Rhinolophus ferrumequinum: one gene and its partner. The protein of the gene in region 2 purifies or fractionates together with the protein of the main gene of each other region. This does not show direct contact. Links are inferred from orthologs where the notes say so. Each region holds a gene or a part of one and is shown on either strand. Other genes may lie near its edges.

Evidence for each region.
Region 1: the proteins of NUDCD3 (region 2) and KLHL9 purify together in Homo sapiens (co-immunoprecipitation; 3 studies listed by BioGRID and IntAct, with this or other methods). This does not show direct contact. The link is inferred for Rhinolophus ferrumequinum from reciprocal best matches to the Homo sapiens genes NUDCD3 and KLHL9.

Annotation. Positions count from the first base shown.
Region 1 is NC_046295.1:18,596,770-18,606,923, reverse strand, and holds KLHL9 (kelch-like protein 9), read right to left. Parts: upstream 5,116-10,154; 5' UTR 4,580-5,115; coding exon 2,726-4,579; 3' UTR 1,747-2,725; downstream 1-1,746.
Region 2 is NC_046303.1:273,506-283,659, forward strand, and holds the start of NUDCD3 (nudC domain-containing protein 3), read right to left. Parts: upstream 5,761-10,154; 5' UTR 5,627-5,760; coding exon 5,435-5,626; intron 375-5,434; coding exon 145-374; intron 1-144. Other genes in the region: NPC1L1 (NPC1-like intracellular cholesterol transporter 1), read right to left, coding at 9,741-9,913.

The DNA of each region.
Region 1 (10,154 bases), on a different chromosome or scaffold from region 2:
CCAAAATGCTAAAACCATGTATTTCTTACTATTGCAATAAAGTTTGGAGTATATGAAAACAAAATCCCATTTGAAACAGCAATCTATCTAATAAAGACAACTTGAATAAAAGATCATTGAAACGGAAGAAAAATACCCTAAATTGCCCATATTATAAATAAAATTTTATTATAATTTTAAAAAGCTTAAAAATTCAGTAAGAAAGTGAAGATTATTCAAAAAGTGGTGATGGAACAACTAGATAATTTGAAAACATATATTAAATTTTATACCAGAAGTCTAGTAAAAAATCATCTCCATAATAATAACAAAATACTGGGATAATTATACCATCTCATGATGGGGAAAAAATAAGCCAAGAAAGCAGAAAAAATGACAAAGGAAAAACTAATTTCACTATATTACAAAAAAAAAGTGTATGTTAAGACATAATCAAAGAAAAAATGATAAAATATTTGCTGTAAATAAAAGTTAATAGTCTTACTAAAACAAAGATTAATATTGTTAATATAAAAGTAATTTTTATAAATTTGTAAGAAAATTCATCTCCATTTCAACCAGAAAGCTACTTAAAGGAGACAAATAGCAAATGCCACCATAGCAGGTTAAGAATTAGTACTGACAAAGGGCTAAGATAAAGGACAAGGAATGTGGTATCAGTACTACATAAAAAAACAGCAAAATTATCCCTAAAAGGTCAAAATGCAAAAAAGACAAATTTGATCTCAAAAATTAACTGAATTGGCCCTGCCTTTGTAAAACTGTGATTGAGAAAAAAGAAGAAATTCAAGCAAATGCCAGTTAAATTATATTTATTATATAAAGAGACCCTATAACTTGGTATGAAAAACAACGCAACTCCAATAGGTATTATTACAAAGGCAAAGTACATGAACATATTTGCTCAATGAGGAAACACAGCTACTCACAAACTCACTAATAATGAAATGATTGGGATGCCATTACTCATTCAATGCACAAGGTTAACAGCAATTTCTACTTTTTATATTTTCTAAATGTACTCAAATGTTTTTAGTAAAAAATTGAATCATTAAAAAAAAAAAAAAAACACAGAAAGTATGAAAACTTCTGCCAGTGCAGAAATCATAAAAAGCATTAAAATGAATCAACACTTGTATGGGCAGTAAGATTCAGATCCCTGGAAGCCAATTGCATTTGTCTTGGTTCCTGAGTTTTATTATGAGATCATCAATAAAGAGAAGGTTGTTCCTGATTTACACTATGACAATCTCCCAAGTATAGAGATATACATATACATATATATGGTAAAAGTATGTATGTAAATTTTCTCTTCAGGTAGACATTCCAGGAAAGTACTTCTTGAAAATCACTCACTATAGAGGATTCCTATGGTTCTCAACCAGTAGGGATGCCAGGATGCCCTTGGTATTGAAAAGGCTGAAGATCTACTTTAGTATTGCCTGCAAGACAGCAATGTCCTAGGTTTTCTGTAGCTGGCTCCTTAGGGAATCTGAAGTTGGTGCTGTTCTTTAGAAATAGCCAAAAGGACATTTTTCTGATTTGATGCAGAACAGAGTACATTTACTGCTTGCTCAGCTCATAGCCTTGAGGCAGATCACACAAAGTTCAGGATGCACAAGGGCAGGAGCAGCACCAGAGCAACCACCGCAAATCAAATAATCTTGTTAGAATGACTTAAGTTGGGAGACTGAACTTAAAATCCTATAGCTCTGTTCAGCATATTTCTTTGCTTTTATAGTATCGTAAGTTTTACTGAACACAAAGGTAGAAAATAGCAGAGCCTAAATTTAGAGCAAAAGCCAAGTCTCTGAAACCTGAACTTTGCTAAATAATATGTATAAAAGCAACTCTACGGAAAATAATATACAGGCAGAAAAAGTCGTATGTTTCATCTGCAGTAACGATTTAGTCAAATGACAAACTTGGTTTGTCAATTTACTATGTAGTGCTTCTATCTCAATTCAGTATGACTATACAGACATTTATTCTCTGCTATTGAATTCCCATTTGAATAGAAATAGCTGCTAGATAAAAGAAAATAATTTAAATTTAGAAACAATTTCACTATGCCTGAAATTCCAATTTAAAAATTATATATGTGTATGTATGTATATACATATGTATGTGTGTGTGTGTGGGGAGAGAAGTCTCTCCTCCCTCTCTCTAGCGATACAGACTTAGGGCTATACTGTTTTTTCAAGTTAGTATTTTTAAATTTACTATTTCTCCTTTCTGCCTAAGAAATTTCACACATTCTGAGTGCACCAACACAATCTGGTGAGTTGGCAGCTATGTCAAAAACTATGAAAAAAGGGAGGTAGCTAATAATACTTGGCGACTTTTTGTTTAATATTTTAGGTTAGAGCTGGCAGCCTCCCTTTGATGTTTTGCAGTCAAAAGATGAAAACTATCAACTTTGAAGCATAATGAACATAATTATACATTTACTACAATCACCTACAATTTGACTTACACAACACCACAAAAGGACATCTAACCTTTTTTTTTCACAGATCTTTTTACATTTTTTAAAACAGCTGGCTGTGTTGAATACATTTTCAGAATGCATTTAACCATTTGATAAACATACTAAGTCAAACAATACAAATAACATCAGTTACCTTTTTAATCTAATAACTGTACTAATCATTGAAAGAAGATACAGCTGAGGGGGAATGATAAGATCGTCCATATGCACTGCAAAAACATTAAGACCTTAGTCCTAAGAATGATCTGAAGGTGCTGAAAGAGGTGATTCTCTAGAAGGTGACCCAGGGTTTTCTTCAGGTGGAAAAACTGTGAGAGTACAAGCTCGAATGCCACCAAGTGACTCTGGAAGGTCAAAAACTTTATGCCACTCATCCTTTTCTGGGTCATATTTCTGGACAATTTCTACCATACAACGATTATTCCAAGAATATCCACCTACAACATAGATTTTATTTTCAAAGACGGCAACTCCAACATCACTTTGACCCCTTAACATCGCAGCAATTGGTGTCCACTGGTCAAGGGTTGGTGAATAGTATTCACAGCTTAGTACATCATCATAATCACTTGTTCCTCTGAAGTGATTGCCACCAATGACATAGAGCTTGTCTCCAACTGTACACATGCAATGCAGACCTCTGACTGTAGTCATTGGAGCCTTCTGTGTCCATTTGTCTGTGTCTGGATCAAAACACATGAGCTCGTTTTGGAAAGTGTCATGAGTAATTCCTCCTGAAATATACATTAAGCCTCCATACACTGTTCCAGCATGGCCATAGTGGGGTTCACTCATTTTTGCAACATAGCTCCACTCATTCATTCTTGGGTTGTAACATTCTACTGTGGCCAGTTCACCAGCTGCACTTCGCCCACCAACAGCATACAGATGTCCTTTGAGGGCACTCAAGTGGAAGAACGTGCGCTTTTCATTTAATGAGGCAACCTGCATCCATTTATTATACCGTGGATCAAATCTGAAAACTGTATCAACAGCAGTTTTTCCTTTCGTATCATAATTACTTTGACCACCAACTACATAAAGAAAGTTTCCAATGACAGCAATGCCATGCTGGTAACGAGGAGCATCCATAGGGGCTAAAGATCTCCACTCTTGTGCCCTTTCATCATACATCCTTAATTCTTTACTGACAACCAGCTGCTGCCTCAGAACTCCTCCTAATGTAACCAAATGTGTTGAGTCCGATCGAATGGCAGTTCTATCTGACTGCATCACTGGCTGCATATATGGCATCATTTGGTAATTGCTAGCTTCCAAAAGCAAATTCACACAGGTATTGTCCGTTCTCATGAAATCCACTGTCTGCACATAATTGATGAGGTCCTGTGGTGTCATCAGTGGAAATCGAATATTCTTCATTAATTTTGCAGCATAATCCATTCGAGGGTCTTCCAACCTTAGCCAGCGACAGGCAGCCTTGAAGAGCTCAAGTTCCGTACAGTGCTTAAGACTATTACTGGAAAGCACAAAGGCAAGCCGTTCAAAAGGGAGTTTTAGAAACTCCCCAGTACTCAATAATGCAGGAAAATTCTTCAGGATAAAATTATTGACATATTTATCCACTTCTATAAGGTTATAAGTGTTAGCTATTCGCCCAACTTCAACACAGTTATCTAAAGAGACTCCTGAAATAAGAAACACTTTACAGAAGTCCAAAACAGGTAAAATTTGTAAAAAGCTGGCAGCTTCAAGTGTGTCCTGAAGATTGTCCATATTAAGAGAAAGTTTTGCAGTATAAATAAAATCAATTATTTTCTTCAGACCAACCTTGTTCACGCCATGAAGCTTAATGCACATTAAATCTTGTTCTTTCATTCCACCTGTAAACATAGCTTTGAAATAATCACTAGCAGACGCCATCATAGCTCTGTGAACAGGGAAAATTTCATCTCCATCACCTGGTACCAAAGTCACATCACAAAGCAATCCTTCTATTCTAAGCTGATCAAAGCCTTGCAATACCACCGAACTGTGCGTATTGCTGGTAAAAAATCGTGTGGTTCCTGCCTTGCAAGGCTGTAAATGGGCGGAAACGCCCATTTCGCCGTTACCAAGAGACACTTTCATGGGAAAGCCTCTTGCACAAAGATGCCAGAGAAAGAAGTTAAAACCGGAATGCTTTCAAGGAACCGAGGATGTCCAAAGCGCAGGAGATCCGCTTTCCTTGTCAAGGGCAAGCAGTCACCGTGGCACCCTTCTGAACACACCAATCAGTCATCCACTTAAAAGGGTTCTGCAGCAGGACCACAAAGGGCTGCGGACATCAAATCTGATTGTTATGCAGATGATTCATCATCTGAAGGCAGTTAATTGACCCGGTTCACCTTGTCTGGCCTGCGCTGCCGCTCCTCCAGCAGTTCCGCTCCAGGCCAAGGGGGAGGCACCGCCACGTACTGCGGCTCCGCGGCTCGCTCGCCGGCGAGGCCGGGCACCTCAGCGAGCAGCCTGCTGCGTCCTCCGCCGTCACTAGAGCTTCGTCGTGGCCCGGGCTTTCTTGGAGCAAGGGCCTGGAACACGGGTCTGGAACACGGGCCTTAGCCCCCGACGCCCAGCCGGTCCTTTCCGGAAAGGCCTAGTCCCAGGATCCCCCGGGCTAGGAGCGGCCGCAGCACTTACTGCGGCTGCGCGGCGGCGCGGCCGTCCAACTCGCCAGTGGGCGGGGGCGGGGGGAAGGGGGAGGAAGTGCGCTGGGGACTGGAAGGGTAGGGGGCGGGGGAGCGGAGCTGTGCCGGGTGGGCGCGAGCCGGCCCTCTTTGGGTCATATTCTAGGTGGGACTAAATAGGCCAGCACGTAGGTTATGCTGCACGTTTGGTATAAACTGCACAGCTTCTGAGCGCTCCACCCCCCACCCCCACCCCAGGCACACTTTTTGTTTAAGGTTTACACTTCCTGGCTTCTGCCCTTTGAATAACAATGAATTACGGCTTTTATATAAATTGAAGTAAAACATAGCAGAGGAGGGCGGGGGGAGGGGGGGAACGATGCTTACAAGTTTTCCTCTTTAAAAGACTTTTTCATTTATATCCCACACCATTTAATTGACACTTCAATTATAACTGTTTTCAATCATTTAAAACACATATCATCTGTCTCTTTAAATACCAAATTGTGACTGTGCTATGTAAATAATATAGCCTGTATTTTTGCCTTCCAGTGGAATTCCACCATCAGTAATTCTCCATGCTTTTGTTTTCCATTCAAATTTTTAAACGGCTACACAATTGTCCGATAACTATACATACCGGTGCTGTCCTTTCCTTTGCCCATTATTTGTTCCTGAATTCTTGTCCTCCATTGTTTTATAGAATCTGTAATTTACAGAATCTGGGCACAAAACTTTCCCATTTTGGGATAAATTCTAAGACATAAATATTTCTTTCCAAAACTCACAATAGATGTTTTGAATGTGCTTTTCCCTTCTATTTATCTTTCCTTTTATAGATATTTTATTAACTTGAATTTCTTTAATTACTAGTAAATTTAAATTTGTCATATGAATAAATGTATACTTTGACAAAATTCTTCCAACATTTTCCTCAGTTGGAAGTTACAACTGTCTTTTAAATTCTTCTAGTTTCTTTTATGCATATGCAAACTAATCAGAGTATAGCTATATTCTTTTTACACTCTCCCAATTTTTATGTAAAAGATACTTACATACCATACTCACTGTTCTGCACCTATCTTTTTTTCACTGGAAGATCTTCCCATATAATAGAGAACTTTTTTTTTTAAGTTTATTGGGGTGACAATTGAGAGAACTTTTTAATCTTTTTTAAGCAGTTCTATTTTTACCCACGAATAGGTGTGTCATAAATTATTTACTCATGGACAGTTAGCTGTTCCAGTTGTTTTCTGTTGTTTCTGAAGGATGGCAGCAAGATCCCAAAGGCTCAGACCACTGCTATCCTCCACCAGATGTCTCAGCAGATCTTCAATCTGTTCAGGATAAGAGGTTGGCTAGGATGAAACTGTACTGGATAAATTCTTTACTGGACTTTATCAGCATCGGGAAGTCCTAGAGACCTGCTCGATGTCTGAGTTGGGGATGGAAGCACTCTCCTGAGCTATAAAGACTCCATACTGGCCCTGAAGAGGTACTTCCAAGGAATCAGTCTCTGTGTGGAAGAGAAAACAGAGCTGCTGTACCTGGGAAGTTGTGAGAGGAAGAAATCATGCTATCTTTCTCTTTATTATCAAGCTTAACAAAAATGACTAAGAGCTAAGGAACCAGACCCATGCTCTTCACGAAACTATTATGGACAGATATAATTCATCATACTCCCAAATGTTTAGCTACTTCAAAAGACTGGTTTTTTTTTTCTGCCTGCATCATGAAATAAGTTGAATCAAATTTGTCACAACACTTATTGGTAGTGTTACTGAACCACCTCCCAAAATTCAGGTCCATGTCATTGATGTGCTAGTAAACAAACATTGAGACACTGGAGCTTGGAGATACAGAAAGGTTTATTCCATTTGTCCAAAGCAAGAGGATGAGAGAGCAAGATCTCTCAACTCTGTCTTCCTCAAAAAGCAAAAGTAGGGAGTTTTTATGTGGCTAGGGAGCAGAGGAGGGGGAATTTCATGGAACCAAGGGGAGAGTCTGTATTTCTTTAGTCATAGATAACATTTTGTGCAACCAGACTTCTGGGTGTCAGCAGCTGGTTGTAACTTTTATTCCTTCTGTAAAATAAACTCATAAATTCTTCTTGTGACCCTGGAGTTATCTCCTCTTGCTTGACAAAGAAACAGTACGTCAGCAACTTAAAATTATATTGTGAGAACGAGATGAGCTGGATTGAAGAACCAAGATTCTGCAAAAACATCTCATAATTGTGCATCAGTGACGTTCTCTTTAAAGCAAAAAGCAAAAATTGGACATCTTGTGACCATCACCATTGTTTAAGGTATCATTGTTTTGTGCTTAACTAGCTGTATTTTCTATAAAAGTGTACTTTTGAACATTTCTCCTGGAACTTGCTTTACAGGCAGGCCTTAATCTTTGACTATACGCTGTGTGACAACCAAAGCAATTGAAACATTTAGTTAAAGCCTATACCTATATCTTTAGAGTCTCTGATCTACCTAAACATGTTAATTGTTAACTGATGGTTTCAGTAGTATTAAGCCACTCTAAGTTAAAGCATCCAGTTCCTAGGGCGCCCATCCTAGGTGGCCTTTTTAATGTGCTTACTCGTATGTACTTAACTATCTATTTTACTATATTTATTGTATTTCAATATTTGCTTCCATATCATGTTCACCTGTACATTGTGCTAATTACATAAAAAGCATTCACCTTTATATTTTTTAATTATTCTCTTAATTATTTCAAGTTTTACTTTCAAATCTTTTTTGAAATTTTATTTTAGGTATTTTTTTAAGGAGGGTACAGCTCACAGTTGCCTATGCAGGGATCAAACCAGCAACCTTGGTGCTACCTGCACCACGCTCTAACCAACTGAGCCAACCGGCCACCCCTTCAAATCTTTTTAGGTATGTTTATTTTTAACCAATGCCAAGACTGATTTTGCAACCCCAGTTGAAGGATGGAGTTGAATTTCATTCATTCATTTCATTCAAGCTATATGTAACACTTGAATCTAAATCACAGGCTCTACACTCCCTTCACAGGATAAAAAGGTGAAGAAAGAAAACAAAGGGACAGCTGTCTTGGAATCATAGAATGTGTAAGCTTCAGTTGCTAAGGAAGAAAGAGGAAACAAAAAAATTATAAAGTACAGGTTTACTTTCTAGAATGACTGCCAAAGGCTTGGCATGACTCTCTGCCTTCACTGTGTGCCTCGGGAGCTCCTGAGTGTGTACAGGAGAGCAGAGGCTTAGCAGCTAGGACACCTCAGAGCAGAAGAGAGTTGATTGCAATGATACGTCTCACATTCTAACCCAGTTTCCCCAAGCCGTTAGTCTTGAGGTTCCCCACACTCTTTCGTTATAAAGTTAGCCAACAATTGACGCTTGGGCTCAACTTGCTTCTGAAACAGAAAAACAGTGTGGTGGGTAAAAGACGGCCACAGCTTCTTTAACACTCTTTCTACTCCTTTTAACCTGAGGGGCCCCTGTGACTACTTAGACCAATCTGTTTAGCTCAAAATGTATTCACAAATGATCTGATAAAGTCTTATAAAAAACTCTGGGAACTTGGGCTGGATTGAAGTTGATATCTTTATTTTGTAAATAGGAGCTTAGATACGACGGTCACACAGTAGGCATGTCTTCTCTCCGGTCAGGGCTCCTTCTCCTGCATCACTCGTTCCCTTTGCCCTTCTCTAGGATAATCACAGCAGGAGGGTGCTTACTCACCTAAGGTCTAAGGGTCAAGACTTCCCTCTAGCCGGCCCTAAAATGCCCACTATGGGGATAACTGCCTTGGGAGAGAAACACAAGTGAGTGCCGTGTCTCTAGAACGCCATTGTTATTCTTCCCTAGAAGGCCAAGAACCTGGAGTCTTTCCTCAGCAAATGAGTTTGTAAAATGAACTAATGATCCCCTTGGAAGGTCAGAGAGCCTTGAGGCCACAATAAAAGGGGAGATGTCAGGAGCTCACAGAGAAGCACCAGCTGCTTAGGCAGAACGGAAGCTGATGGCGTGGAGCCAGAAGGGGCTTTAGAGGGAAAATTTGGAATGGGGATCCCATGTTGTTTGGAGACATGCTTGCTGATTTAGGACTAGGTGTTGAGAGGCAGCTAGCGGTCTATAAGAAGGAAATAACTACCACGTGATAGTAAAAAACAAAACAAATAAAACCGGTTCCATTCACCTGAACCTGAGATTTTTTTGCCATCAGCCCGCCTGAGCCTCAATATCCCTATCTGTGAAATGAAGATAATTCCCCCTTTTTGGGATGCCTCGTGATACTCTGGGAATCAAGAGAGATGTGTGTGTACACTTGGGAAGAGTCAGGGTGCTCTGCCCCTATCAGGCATTTGTTAGACGGAGCAGGATGATGTAGCAGAAAGACCTGTTAAGTAGCTGTCAAAAGGCCTGGCGTCCTGCCCCACCTCTATTTCTTGCTAATCATTAGACACCAGACAAAATGCTCAATTGCTTTATTTTCTATAAAATGAAATAATAGTTGCCGCTATCCCTAGAGATGTGGAACACCAATGAGAAGCTCGTGGGGAAGTGCAATACAAACTCTTGCTATTAAGTGTAAAGTAATATTAGGATTACAGCCCATGTGCCTGTCCAGACACACCCTTTCAATGGAATATTGCCTCATTTGTGGACTTGGAGCTCTTCAAAACGACCTTCGTCATGATCTTATCATTGTTCATAGTGGTCTACTTTTATTTACAATGTGAACGCATTACCTTGAAGTCCTTGTGACTGGCTCCCCAATATCTGCTCCCTCCCACATAACTTGCCCACACTATACACAGCAATCTCGTTCTCTTCACCAGTGGCTGGTGCAGGAGTCGGCGCGTGGTCCAAGTCCCGGTCAGTGAGGCTTGTGGTAAAGTTTGCAGAGGGCTCTGCACAAGGCGGCCTCGCTCTCGGTCAGCAGACAGAGGAAGGTTAGTCCCTTTCTGCCTCTGCCCACTGTGGTCCATGGCTGCGATGCCTGGACCAGCAGCAGCATCTTGAGTCCAGGAGCGAATGTGCTTCAGAGTACAACCG
Region 2 (10,154 bases):
GCCTGCCACCCTGTGCCACAAAGCCTTGTCACGTGGCTGCACACAAGAAGAGCTCAGGCAACGCTGAGCCAGGTCGGCATTGTACCAGGGAGGCCCACTCACACCCACTGCTGCCGGGCCCAGCGAGAAAGCAGCAGCTCTTACTTGGGGCGGGCTGGGGGCTCCCTCGGGGCCTCCACAGCGCCCGCGTCTGCGCCCGGTGGCTCCGCCTCCTCCTGCTCGGGGCCGGCGGGGTCCGTGTCCGCGTCCGCAGTGGGGCCAGCCTCCAGCTCCTGCTCTGCAGCTGCCTCGTCCTCCCGCCTCGTCTTCTCCTCCAACTCTTTCCTCCTCTTGTCATCGTCCTGACGGGCCATGTGGTCAAAGGTTCTGAACACCTGAAATCAAACAGCCACGCACCAATGAGCTCACCTCCCAGAATGCACCACAAAAGGGCGGGTGCAGCAACACGCAGTAAGAAGGCACGGCAGCAAGGGGGACAGCACCGCCGCCGGCCGGAGGGACACGCACTCGGCTGGGCCGACCGCTGCCAGGCAGTGTCCCCTCCTGCGGGAGTTCCAGCCCGACCAGGGAGGCCTCACAAGCCACGGCCGCAGAAGCCCCACTTGTCGCCTCACGATGCAAGACTGAACGGCCCTGCCGCCATCACCCTCAGCCTGTCTGTCCAGCTGCCATCCAGCTGCGCGGCCGTGCAAAGCACTCGCTGCCCAGGTACTGAGCGCTGCTCAGGCCCACAGCTCAGACGGCAGATGGCAGAGGAGATGGAGCTGAAGTTCACTCGCAGGACGGCAGCAGGCACCGTGCGCGGCTGGCAGCGGCCTCTCTGGCTCGGCGGCCTGGGTCTCCGAAGGCTGGGAGTTCAGCCCAACAAACCTCTAGGATGTGCTGGCAGTGCGCAAAGCACGGCCTCCTACTGACAGCTCCCACCCTCTCCAAACGCAGAAGGTAAACCAGCCCTGCCTCCGTCTCTCCTGGGACACAGTCACGCCCATAAAAGTGCTGGGACTGTACCCCCAGGAAGTGCACATGAAACATAGCCCAAACATGTCCAAGGGCACACATAACCCTGGAAGTGCAGCCAGGACAGACCCACACATGACGACCTGACGGCAGAGGCTGAGGTCACACCCACCAGGCCTTCACAATGAGGCAAGCGAGCATTGCTGATGAGAGAAACATGGAGGGGTTTCCTGGAAGGAAGGGGTCTGGTCAGACCTTCAACGAAAGGCAGGCCCGTGTTCCTCGGGAAACCACAGCCTCCAGAGGCGAGGTCCTCAAGAAAAAGTCCCTGTGGCTGCTGAAGGCAGGAGGCTGGGAGACCTCACCTAGGAGCACGGTGGGAGCAGACCTGCCAGTTACCCAGCGACCGTGCCCCTTGGTATTTGCCAATAGCACTGAACACTAACCCCACACAAAACCCCACACACGAATGTTTAGAGCAGCTTTATTCACTACTCTCCAAACTAGGAGCAGAGATGTCCTTCAGTGGGTGGGTGGACAAACTGCCCATCCAGACAGAAGGACGTTAACAGCACTACAGAGACGAGCTGTCAGCCACGGAAAGACACGCAGGAACCTCAAGTGCATGTTACTAAATGACAGAAGCCAGTCTGAAAAGGCTGCACACTGTAATGGTTCCAACTATGTGACATTCTGTAAAATGCAAAACTATAGAGACAGTAAAAGGATCAGCGTTTAGGGGGGAGGGAGAAATGAATGGGGGAGCATGGAGGACGCCAAGGCAGTGAAACCACTCTGTGTGACACTGTAATGATGGACACGTGACACAATACGTTTGTCCAAACCCACAGAACGTACACAACCCAGAGTGACTCTAAAGCTGCTGGTTGGGGTGACAATGACATGTCAGTGTGGGTTCATCAACTGTATCAAAGGTCATGACTCTGGGGGGGGCTACATGTGGGAGGGGCTGTGGGGACTCTGGGCCTTCCCCTCAATTTTGCTGTAAACCTAAAACTGCTCTTAAAAAAAGTTGTCTTATGATAAAAGAAAAACCACAAATGTTTTACCAGTGGGCAGGAGTCCATTTCCAAAGGGCAGGACATACCCTGACATTAAATAATCGTGTCCTGTGCACCGAGCAGAGGACAGACTGAAGAAGGTACGAACACACCGAGCCACGCCAAATGTTTGGCAAAGTCTCTCAAGACCCATGACAGTGCCGAGAAAAGGAACACTACTGTTTCAAAGGCAATGGAGTCGGGCTCCGAGGGCAGCTGCCTGCCAGAGGTCCTGCATTGAGAGAGGAAACCACTGATAGACGCAGCGGGGAGACAAAGGCCTGAGGCTGAAGACAGGAGACGATGCCGACCTGCTCCTCCTTCCGAAACCTCATTTGTAACCCTGACCCTCTGCCCTTGGAGCTGCTCATGCTCGTGACACCCCAGACCTTCATCTTAACTCCACAAAAACAGCAACAGCAGGGCTCCTCTAACAGCCGGGACCCCGCGGACCCTGCCTGATGGTCCCACGGCAGCCCTGCCTCTGCTCACCAGCACCCCCAGCTCTCACTCATTCTAGAATCGCGGACCACAGGGCCGGAAGAGCCACCTATGACCTCCAACCAACCTTCTCAACTGACAGGGGAGAGTTACTGGCCCAAGATCTCCCCACGAGCTCCGTGAGGGACAAATGGAGCCAGTTTTCCTGACTCTCTTGGGCGGGCTTCTCCCACGCAGGCTGGCCAGAGACTTCCAGATAAACAGCATCAACGAAAACAAACAAAAATGTCATTCTGAACTATTTTCTTAGAACACACTAACATATCACGGAGAGAAACGCACTTTTCGCCTGCATCTTTCCTGATAAGGGGCCTTTGGCTGCGCATGCAGGCTGTGCAAGCCCTCAGAATTAGGAGGAAAAGTCTGACCAGTTTTACGCCACCCCCCAAATTATCAGGGAACGCTTTTGAGTTCCCGAATGGAGCACCCCAACACTCCCATCCACACCCCCTTTGCCTGTGGTCTGAAGAGACCCCAAGCACCTCCTCTCAGGTGGGGTGGCCACAGGAAGTACTCTTTTGCCATCAAGTCAGGGGCTGACGAGCACAGTGAGGTCAGGAGGCCATCCAATACCACTGGCAGGTGACACTGAGTGGTACCAAGTCCCTAGCTCTGACCCGGCATCTTTTCTTTCTTTTTGAGGCACAGGTGACAGCGTCCTATTCATTTCAGCTATATACGCAGCGACTGACAGCTGGACCCTCGGTGATCCCCACGACCACTGCCATGACCTGTCACGTGGCATGCTGTCACAATAGCACTGACTACCACCCTAAGCTGTGCGTTTCATCCCACGGTTTAGCTGTTTTATAAGTGGAAACTTGTCCTCACTCAGTACCTTGGTGTCCCACCCACAACAAAACTGTGCGGTGCTGAACCCGGCTTCACAGATGTCCTGCCACACGCCCCTGCAGTTAAGGGACAGCTCCCAGGAGTCACCCTGACCCTCCAACCAAGACACCCAGGGAATGTCTGCTTTGGTAAACTTCCTGGGCAATATTAACGGGTGGGAACCACTTCCAGAAACGGAACCCCTCTCCACCCTCTGCTGGAAACTGTCCCCTCAGTTTCTGTGACACTTACTACCCCACCCCCTCCCACTCTACAGCTTCCTGCTTCTCCTCTCCCTTCCCGACCCTCCACCTTCAGCTCTTCGCTCCCTCAGACCACTCAGGTCTCTGGCTCCCCGAGGTCCAGTCCCAAACCCAATAGCCTGGGGGCAGGGGCTTCTGTCTACGACTTCAAATTAACTTGTGTAAAACTAGGCTTTTCCCCAAACTCAAGTGACAGTACAGTTAATGCATTATCGTTACTCCACCCACCCAAGTTTGAAACCTTGGGTCATCTCTGATTCATCCCTGCCCTGTCCTGCTCTGCTCTCACCTCCACTTAAACTGGTCACCAAGTCTTAACCGTGAACATAGTAGGTTTACATATAGATACCAGATAAATGAGTTACCTGTCGGTTCATCTGTAAAACAAGGGCAAAGCCCAGCCTTTCAGGTTGTGTTAGCATTAAGTAAGATAGCGTCCTGGCCTGTAAAACCCCCGCCGTAATAACTGCTTCTTTCTCTTCCACATCCTTTCTGCAAGCTGCACTCACCCTACATCCCAGCATTCCCACCCTACCATGCGTGGAATGGTTAAATAATGGAGCAGAAACATCTGGAATCACAAAAACGAAGTTTTGAGTTCCAGCTCTACAAGTCTGGTCAATCACCTAGCCTTGCTGAGCTAGCACCCTCACCTGCCAAAAAAATCAACCGCATCTACTTCACAGGAATATCCACGAAACTAGCAAACTGTTACAGGGCCTGCTAGGAACCCTCAGTCAGATGGCGCAAGGCCACTGGAAGGATGAGGAAGAGCCTTCAGTTCTGACACTGACACTCAACTCCACCCCTCATTACACTGTATTATCTTTAGTTACTAAAACATTGTGAGCTTTGGTTTCTTCCTCAGGCACCAGGGAAATTCCTGAGCAACTCACAGGTTGCAGCAAGACTTCAGGTCACATTCGAAAGCACTGTATAAACTGTAAAGTGCTAGGGGACTGTGGGAGGTACCACCTGCGTTTCAATTTTCTCAGGTTCCTACCAAAAGGCTCAATGCTCAACTGAAGACCCACTTTCATCCCATCACAGTCCCACCTCCCCTTTCTGACTTCCAAACCATCCTTTCTATTCCTTTCCTTCCATGGCTGTCACACAATTGGCCTTGCACAGTTGTTACTGCCTGTGCTTTTCCTTCTTAACTATAACAAGTGTCACAAGGAGAGACCATTACTTAAACACCCAAACCACAGTGCACCTCTGCCTGTTTCAGCTGAGTGTAAACAGGAGCAGCAAGGACTTGCTTACTACACTCCAAGGTACCTAGTCAGGTTCAGGGAGGGTTCACGGGACCTCAAATATACAATAAACGTAACCTGGGATATACAGATGTACGCTCCAATGTGCTGTCTTTGACCCATTTCCAACAAGGGGACCACACCCATCAATCGCCACAGTCTCCCTTCCTCCTCCAGTCTGTGGTTTGGGGAGTCAAGGTGCTCGTTTTCATTCCCTGACTGGCAGTCCCTGGCACCTCCAGGGGTCCTGGGCTGCGAAAGCCAAGCTGGCCCTGAGCGGGGGTGTGCTACTTCTGACACCCAAGTGCGCCCTGTGTCAGCCAGGCTGTCGAGAGCCAGTCCTGCTCCCACACAGGAGCAACTTGATATGCGACCAGCGTCTCTGCTTACTCGCAGCCCCGGCCCCAGGAGGAGAGTCCGGGGAAGCGCCAGAGGGGGAACTGAGGCCGGGAGCGGAGCGAAGGGCGGACTCGCAAGGGTCGGCAATTCCCGGGGATCCGGGCGCCCGGAGGCGGGGCTCCCACCGCCCGCCCCACACCCCGCCCGCCCGCCCGGCGCGCGTCACCTGTAGCACCAGCGCCTGCGCGGCCCCCGGCGGGAAGCCCATGCGGTCGGACGGGTGGCGCAGCAGGCGGTAGAAGTCGGTCTTGCGGTAGAGGAAGCCGAAGAGCACGCGCAGGAAGTCCTGGACGTTGCCCACGTGCTGCAGGATGCCCAGCAGGGCCTGGTCGTACAGCTCGGCCGCCCCGGGCTCCATGGCGTCGCCGGCAGGAGGACAGCTCGCTCACTGCAGGCGCGGCCCGGACGCCGGCCCACGGCCACTTCCGGCGCGCCGCGGTAACGGCCCCGCCGCGGGCGCACCCGCGAAACTTCCGGTCCGCGCTCGCTCGGCCCCGGCGGCTGCGCTGCGCTTGGGCGGTCTCGCCGCTGGCCCCTCCCCCGCCGCCCCGCCTGTTCCCGGGCTCCCTCGCGGAGGAGTGCACTTGGGCCCCGAAGTGGCTCCTAGACGCCAGAGGGCCAGGGGCTGCGCGACTGAGGGCGCCTCGTGGCCATGTTGGAAACGGGCGGAAGAGTGCGGCGGACGCAGCACCACGTGGCCCGGTCCTGTTATGTGGTCTGTGGGTCGCGCTACCGCCCGGGTGTCCCGATCCCTGGTTTCCCAGCGCGACCGCGCGAGCCTTGCGCTGATGGGTGGGAGGAGGAACGTGCGTGCGTGCGGGTGGCATGTGTCCCGTTAACGACAGACAGTGGGTGAAATGCAAGGTGGCGTCGTAAGTAGAAGGAAGAACTTAGAGTGCGTACGTGCCCGAGTGCTGCGTGGAAAAGGTGCGCAACAGTCTGGTGTGCCATCATTGGGAAACCTGCGTGTGCATAGTGTACATACACCTGTCCCACGTGTTGTCCAAGTACAAAAGTTAAAAACTGTCAAAGATTTTATTCAACAGTTTAATTAACGAAGTCACCAGTGACGTGATAAAGCTGGTTCGCAGCATTGGGAGGAACTGGGTCCTTACTGAGAAAACAGCCAGGTTGTTGGGTTGGATACAAAGCTAGCTGGTGTCCTACATGATGGTAAAACCGAAGGTTACCTTTTCTAGTAGATAGGAAATGACTCGCATCTCAACGACTCAGATCTATAAGTTAACAACATATATCTTCATGGTGTATGGATTCTAAGGAATTGTAAATAAACTCAAACTCAAATTGCCCTAGAGAAGTGGTTCTGAAACTTTTTAGACTCAGGACCCATTTATGCTGTTAAAACCTACTGAAGACTCCGGTAGTCTTCATGTGGGTTATGCTTATTGATAGTTACCATATTGGAAATTAAAACAAAATTTTAAATTATTCATTTTTAATCTATGAAAAGCATTACATGTTAACATTTTTATGAAAAAATAATGTTCTTCAAAGCAAGAAAAGTTTAGTGAAAAGAGTAGCATAGTTTTACAGTTTTCAATCTCTTCAGCGTCTGGCTGAAGAGAAGACAGCAGGATCTGACATCTGCTGCCCAGAACCCTGCAGCGATATCTTGGGATTGATGTATATGAAGAAAGCCCAGCTCACAGTCAGCGGCTGGAAATGAGAGGACTGTTTTTATTGTCTTTTCAAATAACTTTATTATTCTTTGAAACTACACCCAAATTCGGCTAGTAGTAGTTTCTTAGAGGTTAGGTGCAATATGGAATTTAAAACATATCAATAGATGTTTCCTACTTTGTCACACCAATATCCATTGGTCTGTCCTGCTTAGAATGGATCTTTTACACACTCACAGGTACAGTGTCCCTGAATACACACAGAAGAAAGGCTGCGTGTGCAGACAGCAGCATTTCAGCCGCATCCGAGTCAGGAAGAGAGGTCTTACCAGACACCAACCCTGACTCCAGACTCCAGAACTGTGGGAAAACTAATTCCTGTTGTTTAAGCCACCCAGTCTGTGGTACTTTGTTATGGCAGCCCGAGTACATACAACCACCAACGTTGATTCCTGCTAAGACCAGCAGTGTTACCCACTGTTGCTTTTGTACCATCATTGCAAATGTCTGTACAGTGAAAAAGCAAATAACCACATTTATTACTTTGATCTTGGAGACCGCCCAGGAGTCAACAGACTATACTCTTGAGAACTGCTGGCCTAGAGAATTAGGGAGCCCTGAGATGGGCCTGTTACATAATGCCTCAGTCTGACTTGAGAAGGACATGCAGCCATCTGCTTGCTGTATTTCCAGGTTTTGAATGACATCTGAAAGCATCACAAGAGGTCAACAGAAACTGCTTCTGCAGAGGGGACTCGGGAAACAGGACAGAACAGAGGAGGCCACCTTCGAAGTCGGTACCATGTGCTTGCATTCCCTGTTCAAAAAGTAAATAAAATATTTAAAGTGAGTAGGAAGCTAAACATACTCTTACCATACAATCCAGCAATCACACTCTTAGGTATTCACCCAACTGGGCTGAAGACCTTGTCCACACGAAAACATACAGATGTTTATAGCAGCTTTACTCATAATTGCCAAAAACTGGAGGCAACCAAGACACCCTTGAAGAGATGAATGGATGAACACACTCGTCCATGCACACAGTGAAACACTGTCATCAGCAAGAAGGAATGAGCACCCCAGCAGCAGAATGATGTTGGTGGATCTTGAAAACGTATTGCTCAGAGGTAGAAGCCAGTCTGAGAAGGCTGCCACGCAGCATGACATCCTGAAAAATGGCAGGGTCGTGGAAACGGTAATCAGAGCAGTGTTTGCCAGGGCTTGGGTATGAGGAAAAGTCGGATGGGTGAAGCTGTTGTAGTCGAGACTGCTGCTGGACACCTGGCACATGTATTGTCCAAAGCCAGAGACGTTTATAGCACCGAGAACGACCTTAATGTGCACAAATTTTAAGCAATCAAGAGATTGGGGCTCGGAATGGAATGCGGAATGTGACAAAACAGTCTATTTATTACCAATGTATGAGACAGCCCCACTGAATGGAGATGCTGACCTGGGTAAACCGGAAATGAGTGGAGTGGGCGGGGCCAAGGGACTGCACGAAGAAACTTCATTCTAACGTTTCCCGCAGGGTTATCCATTCTGAAAATCGTGCATCTGCACAGTGGAAATGAGCAACTGAGGCAGTGGTGTGGGAGGTGAAGCCAGGCTTCTCACTGTTGGCTTGGCTGGTTACAGATAAGCAAGGGAGGAGCCTGGAATGATCCATGTGGTGGTGGGTTAGAGCTGGAGGCATCAGAATGAGCTTGTGTTTAGCCCAATATAGATGCAGATGGCTGCGGATAGAACTCTCTGTATGTACACGTAGCCACATGTATTTAGACACATATTTCCGTGCTCTCCCAGCTGAGGGCCCTGCACAGGAAGGGAGCAGCGGCGGGTCCCTGCACTGGCCAGACCCACAGGCTCTGTGCCTCCTGCTTGTGGGGGAGTTGCCTCCGCTTCTGAAAGTCACTTCTAAGGAAGGGCACATGATGGCCTGGCTACTTTCTTGCAAAAGGGGAGGGGAAAACACAAAGTAACATCTCCACAAATCACCCTTCCACATGTGGTATTTGTGTAATGTACAAAAATTATCTTAAACCCAGAGGCAGCCAGAATAAGACATGTGACATAAAACACCATTTCTCCTCAATAGACATTTATTAAGCACCAGTGTGCACGCACTGAGCAAGGTGCATTCCTCGGTCTACATTTCACGGGATCATGGTTGGGCTGGTTTGAGGCCCTGGCCGGTGCTCCAGGCATGTGACAGCGGTGGGAGGGCTGGCCTGTCCCCAGGAGCTCGCGCAGCCTTGCAGACACACTGGCAGCCTCCATTGGAGGTCTTAATAATGGTTGGAGCTGGAGGCCAAACCAAGTGTCATTTCTAGTGAGGTCAATCCATGACAGTATGTTTTCCAGAGCATTCTGCTGCCCTCCCCCACCAGCAGGAAGCCTCTCCCTGGCCTTCTGCGGAAACTGCAGCCAGGCTGAGGGTCCTGCTGTCTGTTCTCAGTGACGCTAAAGAGTCTTAAAGGCTGACACCATAGTGGGACTTTTTTGCCAGAGCGCTGGAGGGGGGTGGGTAGGAAGTGGGCGATTATGGGAGAGTTCTGAGTCTGGAACAATTGTCAAGAAGTGTGTCTTATTCCTGGACACCCGAGACCCAGGTCTCAGGGAGAAGACGACTATCCTGTGCCAACTTCTTGGAAATGAGGGCCCTGCTACCAGGGCTGAGAGCCCATCAGGGACCTGCTGGCCAGAAGGTGCCCGTCATGGACATTCCCACAGGGACAGCCTCTCCTGGGCCCTGAGGGGGAGGAGGGGTCAACGTTCCCACCGGGGAGTCCTCATTGCCTCTCCAGCCTGGCTGGGGCCCTGGCTGCATCACGATGTCTGCCCAACCTCACAGCTGGCAGGATGTTCAAAGCTGTAGTTGACGTAGATGCTTTTGGCCATGCTCATCGGGGACGGATGCTTTGGGCAGGAAGCCATCCTGGCCATGACTGCCTCCTCTGCCCGCTTCTGCTCCAGCACCAGGCCTGGGTTGGCATCAGGCCCTGCAGAGGGACAGACAGACAGGACCACGGTCAGCGAGGCAGCCAGCTGGGCGGTGCAGCCAAGAAAGATCCGCAGCTGAGCCTTAAGCCCCCCCACTGCACCCTGTCCTTCACTCCATGCAACCCCGAAAAACCAGCAGCCAGTTCAGCTGTCATCTGCGCTGAACCCGCTGACCTTCCACCTTCCAGAGCAGACCCCCGCCGTCAGCATGACCTGGCAGGGGAAGCCCTGACACCCCCA